Macaca mulatta: one gene and its partner. The protein of the gene in region 2 purifies or fractionates together with the protein of the main gene of each other region. This does not show direct contact. Links are inferred from orthologs where the notes say so. Each region holds a gene or a part of one and is shown on either strand. Other genes may lie near its edges.

Region 1 (3,386 bases), on a different chromosome or scaffold from region 2:
CTCCTGGACATATAGAAAGTCATTCATTAGCAGTACAGGACATTTAAAACACTTATTTTACAATGGGAAATGTGCAACCCCCACCCTCATTTCCCCCAGAAATTTTAGTTGCATGAGAAAGTTTAGCAGGTTGCCATGACTACAATGCTATGGGTTTTAGATCATTTAAATGTGGTTACAGGTTTATTAAATTAAAAATGTCTGAAACATTTCAGCACTCATATTTTTATACAAGAAGTTTGTGTGGTATCCATCTTCCAGTTCTCTCGGTAGCCATTTGCTTGCTTATTTTTAAGTTTTGAGAACAAACGGCAGTAAGTTGAAGCAAATACTGCTAACAGAACTTGTAAATTCAGCCTGGGGGGGCGGCTCCTGAAAAGAGTCAAAGTAACAGCCATCTACAGGTACAGTCATGAACCAGGAAAGTGCAATCCAAATGAAAAAATTCATGCTTTGCAAAAGCCAAAAATGAGGCCACTGGTGTTTTCAGAATAACACCAGTGCTTTGATGCTGACTTACAGTAAAATCCTCCCTCTGGGTCCCATAGCTTGGTGGCCCAGGCTGGCCACAGTCTCCACATTAGCACCCACATTGTATATGTACAGGGACATATATATTATATATATATTCATATTTATAAAAAAGAAAACAAAAACAAACACCTGTCCTGATTGGTTTTTGTTAAAACATGAAAAAAAATTTTATTGTTTTAGACAAAGAGGCCACTTTTGGAAAATAATACTTTTTTTTTTTTTAGTTGAATCAGGTGAAGACAGAGTTAAAATCACATAGGATTTGCATTTTTAAAAAAGGAAAGCACTAGGATTGTTGGCACTGGAGTAACTATTTACACTGAACAGAGGTTTGGCCTTTTACATAACATCGATACAATGCATTTTCCAAAGTCTGAGAAATAACAAGGTTCTGTCTCGAATGCTTCACAGAGGAGGTTCGGATTTGGGGACAAGTGTCATTAATGAGGGCCATGGAAGTTCGTCAGCTTCAGAGTCACATGCAATCTGATCCTGGGCGGTTCTGCTGCTGGGGAGCAGCCGGCTACGGAATTGAAAGCTAATGGGGAGGGGTGGGGCAGCCTCTGGGACAAGGCCTCTCTCCGCAGACCCGGGCCTTACAGGTTTTCACCAGGTTGGTACTGGGGCTCTGTGGCGGTAAAGTAGTCTTCCAGGAAGCTCTGCAAGTACTCAAAAGTAGGGCGTTCTTCAGGGTCCTTCTTCCAGCAGTGGATCATGAGCTCGTGCAGAGAGATGGGGCAGTCCTGCGGGCAGGGCATCCTGTAGCCTCGCTCCACCTGCTCCAGCACCTCCCGGTTGTTCATGCCTGCAAAGACAAGGGCAGTGAGAGTGGGCACCCGGGGGCTCCAGGCCCTGACCGCCACACTTGCAGATCCCCTTTCTTCTTCTTTGCATCTGCAGGTGGCTAAAACATGTGAAGTGCCCCCATTCCCCCCAGGAGTCAAACCTTGCCATGCTACTCAGAAATAAAGGAGTGCAGAACCGAGACATGCAAAAATCCAGAATGACTCTCCAAAGCAATATAAGTGAAGCAAGCCAGACACAAAAGGCAACATACTGTATGATTTCATTTATGCGAAATTCTAGAAAAGGCACAACTACATCTACAGAAAGCAGATCAGTGGCTGCCTGGGGAGGGGAGGAATCCCTGCAAAGGGGCCAGAAGGATCTCCAAGTGGGATGGGAATGTTCAGTGTCAGGGTCAATGGGTCAACAAGCTTTTCCTGTAAAAGGCCAGACAGTAAATATTTTTGGCTTTGTGGGTCACATATGATCCCTGTCTTCTTCTTTTTAACAACCCTTTAAAAATGTACAAAACACACACAGGTTGGGGGCCAGATCTGCCAACCCCTGTTCTATATTATGTATGGGGTGGTGTGACTGTTTATGTTTGTCAAAACTCAATAAACTGCATTCTTAAAATTGTTGAATTTTATTGTGTGTAAATTATACTTCAATTAAACTGACAAAAATATATGAATAAAGCAGACAAAAAAATCCACACAGAATGAAAGCATGCTGCCCCTTGTTTATAGCATTTATAAACTCCATTTATGAACTTCATAAATTTGTTTTCCTCATGCTTGGGCAAACTCCTAGTTCCTCACTGTGGGAAATCTGCCATCATGCCAGCGTGGCTGGGCACTGTCTGGCCCTGTGACCCCACTGCCCTGAGGTTTGGTGAATCTGATGGGGAGACAGACCATGTCCGGGGCCTATCTCTACTGATGACCTCAGCCAGGCCATCCATCATCTGAGGTCTTCCTGACTCTGGGGAAGCTGCTGAAACACTGGGCTGCATAGCACTAACAGAAGACAGATCATTAACTCCTTAGAGAGTGCGGACTCCTGCACACTGGCCGCCTTAACACTACAGGAACTACCATGCTTAGGGGGTGGCCAATGTCCTGACCTCTTCCCAACTACTGCCGACCACTGTTCTCTAGTTTTGCTTCCCTTTTTCATTAGATCACCTTCTGGCAGCTCCCTGTCAAGCTGTGCTATCCTTTGGTTGCTTCCTGGCTGGTGAGGCTGTCATCTGGAATCCTCCCCAATTTCTGACCTGGTTAATTTGCAGGAGCAAGAACTCGACGTCAAGCCATATAGAAACCAAGATTTCTTCCCCTCTTTCCCAGGGCTACAGCCAGCAGGAGCACACACCATACGCATGGAGCTCGCTCCCTTTACTTCCAGGGGAGGTGGTGACCTGCTAGCTGGAAACCTGTCAGCACAGCCAGAGGCGCTGGCCCAGAGCACAGCCTGTCCCCCTGGGCAGGGAACACTCAGACTTTGGGGTCTGTTGCCAGTCCTCGTGGTTGTGTTGTTACTTGCAGAGCTGAGTGCATCCTGGCTCCTCCTGGCTGTCAACCACAGCCCGTCCGTCGCACGTCCCTCCAGACCTTTTCAGGATGCTTTCTTACTCTCTGCCATGATCATTTCTTGAGATAATAAAAATTCATATATTATTTCTGCTGTACTGAAGTAGGCCTTCAATGCAATTGTCGTAAAATAACCTCACTCACGTGTCAGGGCGACCCCTTATTTCAGAGACAGAGGTTTGGTGAGGGAGTCAGGGTCCCTGCCTCTGTGCCATGCATGCCTTTCCAGTGACTTCCTCAGTTGCTTGGGCAGAGGGAGAGGCAGCACTGTGGCTAATTAGCCTACATCCTCCTCCAATGGCTGAAAACGGGGGATGGGGGCGGGGGAGCTGGAAGCAAAGGAGGAACTGGAGCTGCTCGGGAATGAAAGGCAGGCTTCTCTTTGGGCTCTAGACAAATGCGGTCAGAGGCCAGCATTTCCTTCTCCACAATTCCGCAATCCAACAAGCTCTGAACACCATCAAGTTTTTGTAA
Region 2 (4,292 bases):
CCTTGACTGTGTAGATTGCTGCAGCTACACGTGCAGGCAGGAAACCAAACAGAGAACAACACCCTCCAGTGTAAACTCTAACATCACACCAATTTTTCTTTTTTGACTCTCTGAATGCATGAATAGAAAAATAATAAAGCAACAGAATCTACTTCAAATTGAAAGACCTGGCACTTCTACCACACACTAGGAGGTTTGGAAGCATGGGCAAGTTATTTAACAATAATTATGATCATTTCTGTTGTGGGTGCTGCACTTTGCATACATCCTTAAGCTTAGATTTCTTCATGTATAAATTGAGGATAATAATGCACCTACTTCATTTGCAAGTTGAAGCAGCAGGGTCAAAAAGAACATAGTTTCAACACAGACAGACATGGGTTAAAATGCCAGCTCCAATTTCTACTATTTGATCTCACTGAGCTTCCATTTTCTCATCTCTAAAGTAGAGATGAAGACACTTACCTCAAAGGACTGTGGTGAAGAACTGAGCAAGACATTGTTAAATACCAGTAGGTGTCTGTATCGCTAGACAGTGCACAATAAATGTTTATACCTTCTCTCTCCTATTACACACATGAACTGCTTCTGTTAACATTCATCAGCAGCAATGCAATGTCCATAGCAGCAATTCAATGTCCATAGTATCCCAAGATGCATTTCCTTTCATTACAATGAAAATTTTTCCGAGAACAAGCTTAATATGCCAGATACTGGCCCAACAGCTTTATGTCTATGAACTCATTTAATCCTCACTACTGTTCAGTGGGGTAGGTACTACTGCTGTCATCCCCATTGTACAGATGAAGTCACTGAGGCACAGACTTTGGGTAACTTGCCTAGATTCAAACAGATGGTACCACAGCTGGCAGCCCGGCTCCATAGCCTGTCCTGCTAACCAGGATGCAATAGTGCTTACTGGGTCAATCTGTTTGAGATGCCATGCTTGGATGTAATCTCTTCTAGAGATAAGCACTGGATGCTCCCACAAACTGCAATGTGTTGATGTGACTAACTTTTCAACTTCTGAAATAACATTTTCTGTATTTTCTTAGTATTCCTAAAAAAAACCCCTCTACATTTTAAATAAGGTGCCTATAACTAGTTTGTCTTGTTCTGTATGCTGAAATACCATAAATAAATGCACTTCTCTCTTCAAAGATTATGTAAATAAATCTTACATTAAAACATACCCCTGAGCTTTGGTTTAAACCATAATTTCAAGTCCAAATTAAACATATATGTATGTGTGTATATATTTAGCAGGGAAGTCTTAATATGATCTATTTTGTTAAACTAATGACATCTATACCCAATACTTCAAATATTCCTCTTATTTATAATATTCGCTGTGTAACAGTCACACAGCAATACTGCATGGTATTTCAAAGTACTATTCCTTTTACAAGTTTAATCAAATCAGGTATTAAGCATCAATGATGATAATCCATAGCTCTGCTTAAAAGGAATCTCTCAGGGACAGCTGAGAAAGAACGGTTAAAGATTTCTATCCTTCAAAGTAGGGCACTGCAGCTACCTATAAATCATGCTCTTTGTTTATTAAGATAATTAGGCCCATCAATACACTTAACTTTTAGACTCAACAATTGTCTGGCATGAACAATTTCCACTTTTTCTAAAACAAAGGGGATGTGTTCAAAAAGCGGTCCTCTGCATGCTCTCTGCACAATGCATGCTATTTTAAAACATGATTTATGGGTCTAATTCCTGGAGCTGCCTTGAAAAATATACTGGGTTGTTCCTCCCATGCTCCCTATTAGGAGAAGACACTCCAATTTGAAGAGTGCACTCTGTTTCAGACTTCAGGCCGCTATATCATGTCAGCATTTTCATTAAATACTGTTCAAGCTGGACTTTAAACAAATGGAATGGAGAGCCACAGCTGCAGCCACTGCAGAGACAAAAGTTATCCAGCCGGGAGGCTTACATAAGAGGTGCAGGACAATCAGGGTGAAACCCAAGTGTCATTATTTGAATGCTATTTCTTGAGATTTGCCTACATTCTTAAAGTGTATCAAATCACATGCTTGTTTAATTTGCCTTAGGGCATAAAACACCGGGTCGACATATAAGTTGTTTTTTCCCTAAAGGACTAGGCTCCAATTATGAAAAGGTTGGCAACTTCTGCCCAGGGGAAGAGTAAAGCGGGATGCGCGGGAAGCCTGCAGGCCTGAAAGGAATGGCTCGCCCAAAGATCCATCGTAGTGCTGGCCACACTCCCCAGAGGACTTAGGATGGAGGTGACAAGACCCTGCCCAGCCCCTTCACCCCAACGTACACACAGAGTCAAGGAGCTTGGAATGAATAATTAGCACGCAGCAGTCGAAATGCCCTAGGAGCACCTGTCCTCTCCCAGCATATTTCCAACTGGCACATTCATGAGATGCTGGGGTCAGCCAGCCCTGGACTCCAGACCTTCCAGCTGCCTGGTCCCCTTCTTGGCACCCTGAACTCCCTCCTCAAGCTGGAACTCTGCTAACAAGAGGTGCCACCCTCGGCTTCCCACGAGAAGATAAAAACGAACCTCTCCTTCCCACGGCTCCCTCCAACTTCAGAAACTACAGTCAACTTACTGGGACTCAGGAGGCAGGGAGTCTTCTTGGGGGACAGCGCTCGGAGGCAGCCTCTGCAAACTCGGGCGCGCAGCGCCGCCGCCCCGGCACAGCCCGGCGGCAGCGGCAAGTGCAGGACGAGGCGCCGCCGCTCTGCACCAGTCGCGTTGGCTCAGCTGTGCCGGGCGCCGGGCATTCGCCAGGGCAAACGACTAAGCAAGGCGGCGGCGGGGACTGAGGCTACTGCACCCGGCCGCGCGGACCCGAGCGCCGCAGCTGCCTCCAGCCCCGGAGCGCGGCGCTCGGAGCCCCTGGTGCGTCTCTCTGGCTCCAAGGGAATCCCGGCTCAACTAGAGACCCGGCAGGAGAAAAACCGATGCGGTGCCGCAGGCAGAGCCGCCAGCCCGCCCCCAGTCGGCTGGTCACTGGCGCGCAGACCGACCAGCGAGCAGTAGTGTACCGCAGCCCGCACTCGCCGCCGCGCCGCGGAGAATGACAGGCGCCGAGGCGGAGCAGCAGCGCCGGGAGCGGGGCGCGAGTGCGCATGATCCCGGCTGCTGCGGCACGTCACGGGGGAGGAGGGGCGGGCCGCGGGGCGGGAGGGGGCGAGCCGGGCGGGGCAGGGCTGGGGGTGCAAGCCGGTGAGGACTGGTGCGGCGCCCGGCTTGCTAGCGGGAAGATGCAGGAAGTCTCCCTCCCCGGGTTTTATGAACCCAAAGCTCTGTGGTTGAACTTGTCCCCGGAGCCCATTGTCCCTTAAACAGCACCATTTAAGCGGTCCTTAAGGTCCCGGGGGAGCCCACAAAAGCCAGTTTAACTCAGGTTACAGCTTAACCGTAAAGGGTTGCGATTTGGGGGACAATGATCTTCTATTGTGGCTGTGCATTAAAATAACTTGGGGAGCTTGTAAGAACCCTTTGCCCCGTACGCATCCCAGAGCAAGTACAGGACAATGTCTGGGTGGGGCCCAGGTATCAGTAGGTATCTAATGATACCAAGGTACAACAGTGCTTCTCAAACCCTCAATGTGACAGAATGTCCTACGGATTGTGTTGAGATGCAAGATTCAGATTCAGTAGGCCTGGGATAATGAGGGGGAGATCCTTTCTAACAAGCTCTCAGAGGATGCCAATACTGCGCGTCCAGACCCCCACCCTTGCTACTTAACGTGTGGTCTAGAGCCTGGAGCAGAGCTTCTGAAACAGTTGGTTTGTCTGACAGTCACCCGAGGGCTATAAAAAATGCAGAACAAATGCCCAGGTCTACCCCCAGTGATAGTGGTTCTGGCTCAGCCACTGGGCAAGGGTGGGTTTCTAGAATTCCATTTGGCATAAACACTCTAAATAAATCTGATGGGAGTTTTGTTTGGGCCAAACTTCAAGTTTACACTAGCAACCTGGAACTGGGAATAAACTTTTGCACTTACAAGGAGACAAGCCAAGTCTAGAACTCAGGACATCTGACTTTGAGTCAGGGATTCTAAACCAACGGGTGCTTTAAATCTGACTACTCCCAATTTTCTAAAATTATGATGCATTACTTAGCAAGAAAAAAACATAAATGGTATTAAATATACACATATACACTCTATTGAACACTCGTTACACATATCATTAAAGGGAGCTTAAAGTTGACTGGGAAGAAGGCTCTCATCAGGGGAAGGTAAGGAAGACAGTGATGGAGTAAGGGATATTAGTGTGTCACAGAGGGAAGTGTATG

What was found.
Region 1: the proteins of PAG1 (region 2) and FYN purify together in Homo sapiens (co-immunoprecipitation; 3 studies listed by BioGRID and IntAct, with this or other methods). This does not show direct contact. The link is inferred for Macaca mulatta from reciprocal best matches to the Homo sapiens genes PAG1 and FYN.

What each region holds. Positions count from the first base shown.
Region 1 is NC_133409.1:16,736,990-16,740,375, forward strand, and holds the end of FYN (tyrosine-protein kinase Fyn), read right to left. Parts: intron 1,340-3,386; coding exon 1,131-1,339; 3' UTR 677-1,130; downstream 1-676. UniProt on the Homo sapiens protein: Non-receptor tyrosine-protein kinase that plays a role in many biological processes including regulation of cell growth and survival, cell adhesion, integrin-mediated signaling, cytoskeletal remodeling, cell motility, immune response and axon guidance.
Region 2 is NC_133413.1:91,636,916-91,641,207, forward strand, and holds the start of PAG1 (phosphoprotein associated with glycosphingolipid-enriched microdomains 1), read right to left. Parts: upstream 3,068-4,292; 5' UTR 2,595-3,067; intron 1-2,594. UniProt on the Homo sapiens protein: Negatively regulates TCR (T-cell antigen receptor)-mediated signaling in T-cells and FCER1 (high affinity immunoglobulin epsilon receptor)-mediated signaling in mast cells.